Tribolium castaneum: one gene and its partner. The protein of the gene in region 1 purifies or fractionates together with the protein of each later gene. This does not show direct contact. Links are inferred from orthologs where the notes say so. Each region holds a gene or a part of one and is shown in the gene's direction. Other genes may lie near its edges.

Region 1 (7,490 bases):
TCAAGTTGCTCAAAATGGGCGAATCTCACGAAAATCTGCTCCGTGTCGTGAGACACTGTCAGGAGTCGCTCGACAAATACACGGAGAACCGAAACGACGGCAAGGTAAGTCCAGCTTTCCGCCCCCAAGTGTCTAAAAGTGGGCTTTCAGCTGCTGCACTACATCGAGAAGTTGTACCGGCTGCCCATCAAGGTGGTGCATTTGGAGCAGACGGGGGTCGGGCGCACGGTGAACGGCTTGCGTAAGCTGGGGGGCGATGTCGGCGACTCCGCCAAGTCTCTGGTGGCAAAGTGGAAGGAAATGGTGGTGGGGGAGCAGGAGGAGGAGGAGGAGGAGGACGATGATGAGGATGAGGACGACGAGGATGAAGACGGGTACCAAAGCGGGGAAGAACCGTCGAATGACAGCGACGATAAAGACGGCCATGAGGAAAAATCAACGCCTTCTAGTCAACACAAACGTGATAATGACAGGACTGACGATAGGGAAAGAGTGAAGAAGAGCAAGTCGGACGGGTCCGAAACGTCGCGGAGACATCGCCACAACGGGCACGAGAAAAAGGCACACAAACGCAAAAGCGAGGAGTCGAGTAGTGAGGAAGAAACGGCGCGAAAGCGCCCCAAGAAGGAGGAAGAGCGCCAGAAAAGCAGCAAACGTGACGAAGAACGAAGACACAAGGCGGCGAAGAAAGCCAAAGCTGCGGCCCCCGATTTTGAAGAGAAGAAAGACAGTGGTAGACATAAATCAAAGAAGGACGACAGGAAGAGCAAGGATAAGAAGATTAAGGATGAGAAGAGGGAGAAAAGTGATGAGAAGAAGACCAAAAGTTCGAAGAAGTTGAATGGGAATTTGGTTAATGGGATTGATTCGGGATCGGGGGCTAGTTTTGCGGAGGCTTTGGGCATGTGTGAGCCTTCGTCGAGTAAGAATAGTGCGAAGAAGAAAGTGGAGAAGGTGGAGAAAGTGGAGAAGAAGAAGGAAAAGTCAACGGACCAGACGGTAATTTTTATTAAGTTTTTGAAAAAAATGACAAAAACAACACACTTTTTAGAAACGTAAGGAATGTGTACCTATCTAGTTTATGACTAAAAGTTTCGTTATCAGTATCAGAATGAAACAGACGTAATTTTCGTAATCTGATACTTGTTTGAGAATATTTTACTATTTTAATTCGGTGACAAACACTTATAACTGAAACTGAACAGTTTTAAAATTCCTCTTTGTTTTTCCTGGATTAATTATTATTGACAATTTTTAGTAGAATATCTTGCAATATCAAGGTCTGACTACGAAAGACTATAAGTTAGGAGACGAAACGAGATACAAAATCGCTCCCAAAGATGTAGTACGGCGGTGTAAAAATGAGGGCGCCTCGAGCGTCATCCCGTCTCGGTGTCAAATCGTTTTAAATTAATTTAAATTCAACCAGTTTACTAATTACTGGGGAAAAATGCAGAAATGTTGAGCTTTGCATTCTCAACAGACTGGGAAAAAGTGAGGACTGAAATTTATTGAGAAACATGAGAAAAAAATTATTTAAGATTTAAAATTTGCGCTCCGGTCCGTATTTTTCAAAACGCTGCGAATACGGTTAAAGATACAAGAAAAATGTTCAGAAGAAAGTTGTAGAGAATTTAATTTCCTTTAAAAAAGTCAGCGAGACCATATTTTTATCTTCAACGGTTTAGGCCCTAAAAACGTTCAAAGATGCTCAAGCGACTGATTTGCGTCATTTTGCCGGTGGTCAAGTATTGGAAAGTGAATTTATAGCCAAACCGTTGAAGATAGAAATATGGTGTCGCGGACTTTTTTGTAGCAAATTTAATTCTCTACAACGTCGTTCCTTTCAATTTTTTGTAACTTTAACCGTATTCGCAGCGTTTTGATAAATAGGCGACGGTGCCCAAAAATTATCGCTTAGAATTATTGCGTTCTTTTTGCAAACGCAGCGAATACGGTTGAAGATACAAAAAAAGTGTAAGGAACAAAGTTGTAGAGAATTAAATTTCCTACAAAAAAGTCCGCGACACGATATGTCTATCTTCAACGGTTTGGGTATAAATTTATTTTCCAATACTTGACCACCGGCAAAATGATGGAAATCCATCGCTTGAGCGTCTTTGAATGACTTTGGGGCCTAAATGGTTGAAGATAGGGATATGGTCTCGCGGACTTTTTTAAAGGAAATTTAATTCTCTACAACTTTCCTCTGAACATTTTTCTTGTATCTGTAACCGTATTCGCAGCGTTTTGAAAAATATGGGGCAGAGTGCAAATTGGTAAAACTTTGAAATTTTTTTAAATATAGTTTAAGATATAATTTTTGCACTATTTTTATCTCCAATTATTGAAAATTTGGTGCTTTATCTGTCTGTATTTTTTTATTCGCTTTGGGCTAACCGTTATTTAATTAAACTATTTTTATAAATTTATTGCTTAAATACTTAATTTTTTTCTGTGCCTACATGAATTTTTTCAGAATTTTCCTACACTCTTTTATTATTTAAAATTAATTACGTATTTTTTATTTTTTATGTTCTGTTTATACCAAATATTTTGATATTGCAGATCCAGGAATCCATCCGAATTATTTTTGGGTTCTAAAAACTGGGAGGAAGTCTCAATTTATTATTATTATTTATTTATTTTTTGTTATGGGTCAAAAAGAACAGAAGAGTTGTTTTTCATTTTGATTTTGTACGAGTTTTTTTTGCAATATACACATAAAACTAAATGATCGTAGTGATGTTTAGATGAACCTCTTCTTCACAGGTCCCCAAACTCCTTAAAGAACCGACCCTGGACCCCATAGATCTCAACATTTCAAGCCTACTGCCTCCAATCACCCCCAACTACCGCCCCCTCGGCAACTTGCTCCCTTCGGACAGCCACCACAAAAAATTCATGTCCGAATCGGAGGCGCTCACAAGCATTATCACCTCGAAAAACCAAAGGACGAAAGTCTATTCTGGCAATAAAATGGGCTGCGGGAAAGTGGCCTCGCTGTTCGATCTGTGTATTCGAGTCCTTCAGGATAATATCGATGCTCTGGAGTACACTGGGGGAGTTCCTTACAACGTCCTTAAGCCGATTTTGGAAAAAGCCAACCCGAATCAACTTTATTTAATGGAACACCATAACCCGTATCTTATCGAAGACACAGACGAGTTGTGGCAGTTGCATTGTCAGAAGGACTTTAGAAATAAAAAGAGAGAGGAGTTGGAGACGTGGCGCGAAATGTACCTGAGATGTTTGGATGAGAGAGACGCCAAACTTAAAGCATTGACAGCGAATATAAAACAAGCGCAAGATAAGTCGCTTCCGGTCAGGATGACCAAGCTGGCATATGTGGATGCGGTGGCCAAACCCCCTAGAAATATAGGTTGGTGTGACTGCTGTTACCTTGGCTATTTTTAATCCTTGCCAGTAGTTTTTTAGTTATGAATTTTTTAAAATGTGGCCAATTTTTGCTTTTATTTGCAATTTTCTCGAAAACTATTAGTCGGAGAACTGTGATTTTTTTTGAAAAAATAGATGATTTAAAGAGCTTTCTAACGATAATACACTTCATGGGGTTTTCTCTGATAGTTCCGGAGCTATTGCTCGAGAAATGTTCCGGGTACCCAAAATCGACAAAATTTGCGACGAAAATTGAAAAAATCAAACATCAAAAAATCGATCAAATGGACTTTTTGTGGACTTTTAACTACTCTAGAGGGATCTCAATTTCAAAAAAATACGAGTTTTAAAAAAAAAATTTTCACTTTCTTGAAGGTATGTGAAATTTTAGGAAAAAATTCAAAATTTTAAACCTCGTGAAAGTTGGTATAATACAGAAAATGAGCCGCTGAAGTCAATGGAACAAACCGCGTTGCTCTACGACTTCTAGTTTTTGAGTTATGAATTTTTTAATATAACCCGGCGCATCCACCAATTTTAAAATTAAAATATTTTTTAAAAAATTTCTCGGGTAAGCTAGTGTTGTGAAAAGGCTGGTATTTTAAGCAATTTGAGCAGCAGAATTTACTGGAACAAACCGTTTTGTTCTACGACTTTTAGTTTTTGAGTTATGAATTTTTTTGTTCAATAAAATTGTCCACCATAAATAATGGCTACGCTAAATTTAGGCAAAAAAATTTTAATTTTTTATTCTTGTGAAAAATTGATATATTATGTGAAATGTGCCGTAGAATTCAATGGAACAAACTGCATTGCTCTACGACTTTTAGTTTTTTTTTTATGAATTTTTTTAGTTAAAAACTTTGATCGCCTCTGTAGCCGGAACCGTTGCCCGGAGCGGCTCCGGGTTTGAACGAAAAAATTGAGAAAAATAAGCGCTATCAGATGGTTTTTTGCTCGTTGCTTTAAGTCTTACAGTTTCCGAGAGAAACGCAAAAAAAGGTTTCCATTTTCACTTTTTTTCAACTTTCAACCGCCAATTACGGCGAAACTATTAGAGTTATCGAGAAACGGAAAAATAAAGAATAACCGGAATAAAAAACTCTACAAAATGGCATAGAACTAAAGGCGATATCTCGCAAAAAATTTTTCAACTTTCAAACGCCGATTACGGCCAAACTAAAAGAGCTAGGAGAAAACGCTTTTTTCCATCGGAAAGAGCACATCAAAGCCTATAAGATAGAATCGGTTTTATTTGATTTTGAGACACTTTAAAAATTGACCGATTTCTAAGGGGGGGTTTTAACTTTTTTTAATTTTTTTTTAGTTTCTCATTTACAGCTAAACTATTCTAAAAAGTGGAACTATTTTGATTCATACCTATGCAAAATGATCCGGGGAATCGATTGGCATCAAAAAAATTGCCAAATTCCCAATAGTTTTTTAGTTATGAATTTTTTTAAATTTTACCAAATTTTGCATTTGTCTCCAATTTGCTCGAAAAGTATTAGTCGGAGAACAATAATTTTTCTTGAAAAAAATAAAGAATTTGAAGAGCTTTCCAACGATAATACACTTCATGAGGTTATCTCTAATAGTTCCGGAGCTATTGCTCGAGAAATGTTCCGGGTACCCAAAATCGACAAAATTTGCGACGAAAATTGAATAAATCAAACATCAAAAAATCGAACATATGGACTTTTTGTGGACTTTTAACAACTTTTGTGGGTTGTTAAGACATGTAAAAGTCCATAAAAATTTACTGGAGTAAGTTTAAAAAAAAATTTTTTTTCACCTCTTTGAAGGTAAGTGTATTTACTCAGGGAAATTTTAAGCAAAAAAATTAAAAATTTTAAATCTCATGAAAAGTTGGTATAATACGGAAAATGAGCCGCTAAATTCAATGGAACAAACCGCATTGCTCTACGATTTTTAGTTTTTGAGTTATGATTTTTTTTGATCTTTCAGCTCGCAAACAAGCAAAAAATGGGACGGCTTTCGACGTCCGAAAAACCGCTTCAGCAAAACTGAGTTCTCTGGCAACGGCAGGCGAGGCCGGAAAAGTGTCAGTTCCAAACCCCGGAAGTCGAGCCGTTGAAAGACCTTCGGCCCACGCCAAGCCCAAGAAAGCCCCCCTTATGTTAAAAAGCATAAGTTCGTTCAAAAACAGGTTCAAGAGATAACCGAAAGACTGTGTTCGATTCAGATTCGATATATTTTGGCTGTAAGTTTTAGATTATTTTATTGATCAAGTGTTTTAGGTAGTGATTGGTTTTACTTCATCGTGGTTTAAGTTTTTGACAGTTTTTGTCAGGTCATTATGTGATTGTAATTATTTATATTGTATCATCTTTTTCCATTTTACTTCATTGTGTATATTTCATTTCGTCGAGGTTTTATTTTTATTATTATTGGTGGCAAATGTAATTATGTAAATCACGGTTTTAAAATAGTTGAAATATTTTTATAGATAAGGCAGGCATTAAGTAGGTGATTAAATAAAAATCAGGAACGGATTTTGGAGCACAATGTTCTTTTTACAAAGAACAGGCAAATAAACAATTCCAGTAAGAAACGGTTTTTTATTTATAACCCCACTTGAGTTTACAAAAAATAAATAAAATTAAAAACTTTACAACAGGGTAAAACTAAATATTCAAGGATTGCTCTAATTAGTCAAATTAATAACTAATTTGTCCAGCAAGAACCACGTGGAGGTTTAGAGCTTTCTCGCCAGGAAAAAAGGAAATAAGGATGAGGTAAACAATGATTATTGGGAAATATAAAGGAATTATTGGTTTGTGAAAAAAAAAATACGACACAAAAATAATACAATGAACCTAACTTCGCATAGCGAAGTAAAAACAACACCATAAAAAATCTTTCTTTACATGAAAATTACAACTAGCCACTGTTATCAATACTATACAAAGTAAAGAATACACAATACATTATAATATATGGCATTAAAACAATTAAATATTACACTTCATACCGTTTGTAGCATTAAAAAAAAATAAAAACAACACCAATAAAAAATATTTGCATGAAAATTACAACAAGTGACGTATATCAATATTAAACAAAATAAAGAATACACAATACGTTATAATATATGGCATTAAAACAATTAAATATAACACTTCATAAGACAAACACAAAGAATGCACCTACCTTTATTTATCGCTTCCACGTTGGCTACCGTTTGTAGCATTAAATAATAATAATAATAATAATGAGGCCGAAAAAAAAAATGTTTATCCGCATTAAATTTTGAAGCCACTTTCATTCATTGAAATTAAAGACAAAATTACTAAGTGGCAATAAATTATTTGAGTGTTTTATTTTATTTTAAGTTACTGAATTTAAAATGAGTCACTCAAACTATGACTTTTCAACACCGCATTTAGAGTCGGTGTTATTTTATTGCAATTAAATTTTAACGAAATATTGGTTTGTGAAATAAATAAATACGATACGACACAGCAATAAAATACACCTTACCTTCAGATCGCTTCCACGTTGGCTACCGTTTGTAGCATTAAATAATAATAATAATAATAATGAGTCCGAAAAAAAAATGTTTATCCGCATTAAATTTTGAAGCCACTTTCATTCATTGAAATTAAAGACAAAATTACTAAGTGGCAATAAATTATTTGAGTGTTTTATTTTACTTTAAGTTACTGAATTTAAAATGAGTCACTCAAACTATGACTTTTCAACACCGCATTTAGAGTCGGTGTTATTTTATTGCAATTAAATTTTAAGGAAATATTGGTTTGTGAAATAAATACGATACGACACAGCAATAAAATACACCTTACCTTCAGATCGCTTCCACGTTGGCTACCGTTTGTAGCATTAAATAATAATAATAATAATAATGAGGCCGAAAAAAAAACAAAATGTTTATCCGCATTAAATTTTGAAGCCACTTTCATTCATTGAAATTAAAGACAAAATTACTAAGTGGCAATAAATTATTTGAGTGTTTTATTTTATTTTAAGTTACTGAATTTAAAATGAGTCACTCAAACTATGACTTTTCAACACCGCATTTAGAGTCGGTGTTATTTTATTGCAATTAA
Region 2 (6,030 bases), on another chromosome or scaffold:
AGTAGCAAGTCGAGGTCTAGGTCGGGGAGTGCGGCCTCGAATAGGTCCAGGTCGAAGAGTGCGGGCTCGAATAGGTCCAGGTCGAAGAGTGCGGGGTCGAATAGGTCCAGGTCGAAGAGTGCGGGGTCTAATAGGTCCAGGTCGAAAAGTGCAGAATCGAATAGGTCGCGGAGGTCCAGGTCTAGGTCTAGATCACAGTCGCAGGAGAAGAGACCGGAGTCGGGAGGTCGTAGCAGGTCTAATAGCCCTAATTTGCAAATTGACGAGCCTGGGTCACCTGAGAGTGGCAAAGGGGATAAGAGGAAAAGGGACAGTTCTGAAGAGAGGACTAGCAAAAAGAAGCATCGGATTATTGACTCTGATAGTGAGGGAGAAGAAGGAAAGGAAAATGACAAAGGTAATAACCTCATAGGTTTAGAGTTTTTGTCATGTGTACGAAATAATAATTACTTGATTGCTATAAAAAAATAATTCAAGAAGATATTTCTACATAAATAATGAAAAGGATAGCTGCTAGTTATCAATAATTGGACGTAATATTGAAAGTCGTAGTAGAAAATTCAAGAAAGACGCTCGTGTGCACTTAATAAATTTTACATACATACAAATTTTTAGACATAAATTAGTTTGAAGTTATATTTTACTTTTACGTTCATCTCTTTTTCTCTCAAAACAAAAAGTACTTTTACAATGTGGCGCCTTTACGTACTTTTACATTTTTGCCGCATTATTTTCTTATTTCTCAGTTTTATGCTCCGTTTTACGTTTATACGTCTATGTGTTCTCTCAATCTCTTATTTTTGTTTACGTGTTGTTTCACTTACCTTTTCTACACTTTTTTTCTCAGAAAAATTGTTGCCGTGATCCGGGTTCGAACACCCGACCTCCCCTGCCGTAAGTGGCGCTTATACCACTAGGCCACGAGGCCCCAGATACTGACCGTGTTTTGCAGATATTTTAATACAAACTTTTTAAATAAATCAACATTACAAACTAAATAATTGCAAAAATTCACCTAAAACGCAAATAGTTTCAGTTCAAAAGTCGGGAAATTAGCTCGAGAACGCATTTTTTTTCACTTTTTTCAATTTAATTCTCTAATTTTTCACCAGATTCCATCAAAAGATACCGGGTGTATAAGTAAGTCATCTAAGGATTCAACTAAAGTTTGAAGTTATATTTCACCTTTACGTTCGTCTCTTTTTCTCTCAAAACAAAAAGTACGTTTACAATTTGGTGCCTTTACGTACTTTTACATTTTTGCAGCATTATTTTCTTATTTCTCTCAGTTTTATGCTCCGTTTTACGTTTATACGTCTATGTGTTCTCTCAATCTCTCATTTTTGTCTATGTGTTGTTTCACTTACCTTTTCTACACTTTTTTTCTCAGAAAAATTGTTGCCGTGATCCGGGTTCGAACACCCGACTCCCCCGTCGAAAGTGGCGCTTATACCACTGGGCCACGAGGCCCTAGATACTGACCGTGTTTTGCAGATATTTTAATACAAACTTTTTAAATAAATCAACATTACAAACTATAATTGCAATAATTTACCTAAAACGCAAATACTTTCAGTTCAAAAGTCGGGGATTTAGCTCGAAAAAACATATTTTTCCACTTTTTTCAATTTAATTCTCTAAATTTTTCATCAAATTCCATCAAAAGATACCGAGCGTATAAGTCAACTAAAGTTTGAAGTTATATTTCACCTTTACCTTCGTCTCTTATTCTCTCAAAACAAAAAATACGTTTACAATTTGGCGCCTTTACGTACTTTTACATTTTTGCCACATTATTTTCTTATTTCTCTCAGTTTTATGCTCCGCTTTACGTTTATACGTCTATGTGTTCTCTCAATCTCTCATTTTTGTTTACGTGTTGTTTCACTTACCTTTTCTACACTTTTTTTCTCAGAAAAATTGTTGCCGTGATCCGGGTTCGAACACCCGACCTCCCCCGCCGTAAGTGGCGCTTATACCACTGGGCCACGAGGCCCCAGATACTGACCGTGTTTTGCAGATATTTTAATACAAACTTTTTAAATAAATCAACATTACAAACTATAATTGCAATAATTTACCTAAAACGCAAATAGTTTCAGTTAAAAGTCGGGGAATTAGCTCGAGAAAGCATTTTTTTCCACTTATTTCAATTTAGTTCTCTAATTTTTCATCAAATTCCATCAAAAGATACCGAGCGTATAAGTCAACTAAAGTTTGAAGTTATATTTTACCTTTACGTTCGTCTCTTTTTCTCTCAAAACAAAAAGTACGTTTACAATTTGGCGCCTTTACGTACTTTTACATTTTTGCCGCATTTTCTTATTTCTCTCAGTTTTATGCTCCGCTTTACTTCTATACGTCTATGTGTTCTTTCAATCCCTTATTTTTGTTTACGTGTTGTTTCACTTACCTTTTCTACACTTTTTTTCTCAGAAAAATTGTTGCCGTGATCCGGGTTCGAACACCCGACCTCCCCCGCCGTAAGTGGCGCTTATACCACTGGGCCACGAGGCCCCAGACACTGACCGTGTTTTGCAGATATTTTAACACAAACTTTTTAAGTAAATCAACATTACAAACTATACAGTGTGATCCACGAGTAATAATGAGCCTTAAAAAATTTTTTAAGTAACCAACATTACATTTTATAGATTACGTGGATAGGAAAATATGAAATCATTACGTTCTAATTTTGTACTAATATTAGAAAAATCTCTAAAATTCCTCTTTGTCCGAATACATATTTCTGTCTTAAATAAATGCAATAAAGGTATTAAATTTGACAAAAACTGTGATCACAGAGGTCAGTGCTGCTGCCATTTTTGGAGACGACGCGGATGACATAAGCAGCGAGGAAGAAAAAGAAAAGGCCGAGTCAGAGAAAGAGGCACAAGCCAGTGAAGAAGAGCAGCACCATTCAGAGGAAGAACATGAGCAGAGACAACCAGACGAAGTCAGTTATTTATTTCCCCGAAAAGTCGAGTAATGATTGTATTTCAGGACGAAGATAAGGAAAACGAACCGGAACAAATCCCAGAGACGCGAATCGACGTCGAAATACCCAAAATCAGTTGCGACTTGGGTCGCGACATCCACTTCGTCAAACTCCCCAATTTCCTTTCAGTCGAAACGCGACCTTTTGATCCCGAAACTTACGAAGATGAAATTGACGAAGAGGAAACTCTGGATGAAGAAGGACGCGCTCGCTTGAAGTTGAAGGTCGAGAACACGATACGGTGGCGAGAAGCCGTCGATAAAGAGGGCAATGTCAAGAAAGAGTCAAATGCAAGACTTGTTCGGTGGTCGGATGGTTCCTACAGTTTACACTTAGGTTCTGAAATTTTTGACGTCTACAAACAACCACTCCAGGTTAATAATTCGATTTTTTTGCACTTTTTCATAAAACAATAATTTACAGGGTGACCACAATCACTTGTTTATCAGACAAGGCACCGGTCTCCAAGGCCAGGCTGTGTTTAGGACCAAATTGAGCTTCAGGCCACATTCTACCGAAAGTTTCACACACAGGAAAATGACCTTGTCGCTTGCAGACAGGTCGCAGAAGACTTCCGGGATTAAAATCTTGTCGCAAGTCGGAGCTGATCCCGACCATGACAGGAAACTTCTCTTGAAGGTGATTTTTCGAATTAGCAAATGGAAAAAAATTAAACGCTAAGTACATTAAAAAGTAACAAAACCGTCATGGACAGCATCTAGTAATTTCTCGAAAACTTATTTATCGGAAAACAATAATTTTTTTGACGAAAAATGATTATTGAAAGACCTTTCCAACGATAATAAATTTAATGGGATGACGAGTTATTGTCCGATGAATGTCAAAAACATGTTGAAATGTTCACACACTCATTCTTCAAACGCCGAATACGGCAAGAATATTCGAAAAAGTGTAACTATTTTATTATAAACCTGTGTAGAATGATGTGGGAAATCGATTGGCGTTTAGAAATTCGCCAAATTTTCAATAGTTTTTAAGTTGTTTTTCAATTTTTGCATTTGTTCGCAATTTTTAAGAGAACTATTAATTGGAGAACAATAATCTTTTTTGGAAAAAATAGTTTATTAAAAGGGCTTTCCGACAATAATAAACTTAATACGGTTCCGTCTATTCGTTCCTGAGTTATTGCTTGATGAATGTAAAAACATGTTGAAATATTCACACACTCGCTTTTAAACGTTGATTACGACAAAATTTTAGGAAAAAATTAAACTGTTTTAGTGCAGACTTATGTAAATTGTTCCGGGGAATCGACTAGCGTCGAGAAAAGCGCCAAATTTTTTATAGTTTTTGAGTTATGAATTTTATTTCAATTTTTGCAATTTTTTCGCAAACTATTAATCGGAAAGCAATTATCTTTTTTGAGAAAAATACATTATTAAAAGAGCGTTCCAACGATAATAAACATGATGGGATACGTGTAATAGTTATGGAGTTATTGACCGATGAATATTAAAAACATGTTAAAATATTCACACACTCGTTCTTTCAATGTCGATTGCGGCAACACTATTCGGAAAAGGGGAATTATTTTATTGTAATCCTAGGTAGAATGATCTGGGGATTCCCAAATTCGGTTGGCGTTTAGCAAATCGCTGAATTTTCAATAGTAATTGTTTTTTGCTTTTGCAGTTTTCTCCAAAACTATTAATTGGAGAACAATGACCTTTTTTGAAATAAATAGAATATTAAAAGAGATTTCCAACGATAATTAATTACTATTAATTAGTTAATTATTAATAACGTATTGCTATGAAAAAATAGTAAATGGGTAAAAATAATAATTGTTTATTCATTATTATTATTAAAATAAAATTAATCAATGCAAGAGCGACACTTTTTACTACTCCTTACGCAATACGTCAATGAGTTTGTTCTTTCCATTTATTTAAAAAAAAACTTTAGTCCACGTCTAGCACATCAAATATTTTATTTAGCAAATGAGTGTTAAATACCTGGGTCGGTATAGCGTTCTATAGTAGTATTATTATCCTTTCTTAGCAGATTATTTTTATTTAATTTTTTTTTTGAATTTTGTTGGTAGAAAGAGGAAGAAAAGTTGCGGCAAACTGTACGCGTGAGCAAACCTCGGCGCAAGGGTGACAGTGGGACGCGGTCTCACAACAGCAGTGTGTACAGAGAAGAGGATGGGAGCGATGAAGAGGGGGCTATTTCACTCAATGCCATTAAAAATAAGTACAAGTCGGGGGCTGCCACAGTGGCTAAAGGTAGTTGACGTCTTAGGGAACAACAAAAAGCTCTAATATTTTCTTAGGTGGGGCCATCTATTCGTCAGATGAGGAAGGGTCAGACATTGAGGCTAGGAGAGCGAGGAAAATTGACAAGGCGAAGGCGTTAAAGGACTCAGAATCAAGCGAAGAAAGCGAGTGAATATCAAAAACTGTATTTGTGTTACATAAAGATTGATTACAGTGTAAGTAATACTGAACCTAACAGTTGCGCATATTTAGATTCACGAGATCAAATAAAAATCACAAAATCAAAAAATTACGGCTTGGGCCTGTGCACCTTCATGTGCGTGGCCAGGGTCCCGCTCTGGGCGAACGCCTGTCCGCACACACTGCACACATACGGTCTTTCCCCCGTATGCGTCCTGATGTGCTTCTTGAGCGTCCCTTTGACCGCAAAACTCCTCCCGCATTCGTTGCACGAGAACGGTTTTTCCCCGCTGTGTATCCTCATGTGTATGACCAGACGGCCGCTTTGGTTGAACCGGCGATGGCAGACGTGGCACTCGACCGGTTTTTCCCCGGTGTGTGTGCGAATATGCGCCGACAAGTACCCCGACTGTGGGAAATCCTTGCCGCAAATTTTACACACGTGCGGTCTTTCCCCCGTGTGGATGCGAATGTGGGTCATGAGAGTTCCCGGCGCTGCGAAGCTTTTGTCGCACATTTGGCACTTGTACGGTTTTTCCCCGGTGTGTATGAACGAGTGGATTTTGAGGTAAGACAACTGGCCGAAGCCTTTGCCGCAGACGTTGCACAGGT

What was found. Proteins that work in one complex are often made in the same cells at the same time.
Region 2: the proteins of EloA (region 1) and Atu purify together in Homo sapiens (affinity purification with mass spectrometry; 3 studies listed by BioGRID and IntAct, with this or other methods). This does not show direct contact. The link is inferred for Tribolium castaneum from reciprocal best matches to the Homo sapiens genes ELOA and LEO1.

The regions. Positions count from the first base shown.
Region 1 is NC_087400.1:1,639,978-1,647,467, forward strand, and holds the end of EloA (transcription elongation factor B polypeptide 3), read left to right. Parts: 5' UTR 1-14; coding exon 15-104; intron 105-150; coding exon 151-999; intron 1,000-2,772; coding exon 2,773-3,382; intron 3,383-5,367; coding exon 5,368-5,582; 3' UTR 5,583-5,974; downstream 5,975-7,490. UniProt on the Homo sapiens protein: SIII, also known as elongin, is a general transcription elongation factor that increases the RNA polymerase II transcription elongation past template-encoded arresting sites.
Region 2 is NC_087398.1:7,669,422-7,675,451, forward strand, and holds the end of Atu (another transcription unit protein), read left to right. Parts: coding exon 1-397; intron 398-2,804; coding exon 2,805-2,956; intron 2,957-3,003; coding exon 3,004-3,372; intron 3,373-3,421; coding exon 3,422-3,637; intron 3,638-5,063; coding exon 5,064-5,247; intron 5,248-5,294; coding exon 5,295-5,410; 3' UTR 5,411-5,527; downstream 5,528-6,030. Other genes in the region: zinc finger protein OZF, read right to left, coding at 5,528-6,030. UniProt on the Homo sapiens protein: Component of the PAF1 complex (PAF1C) which has multiple functions during transcription by RNA polymerase II and is implicated in regulation of development and maintenance of embryonic stem cell pluripotency.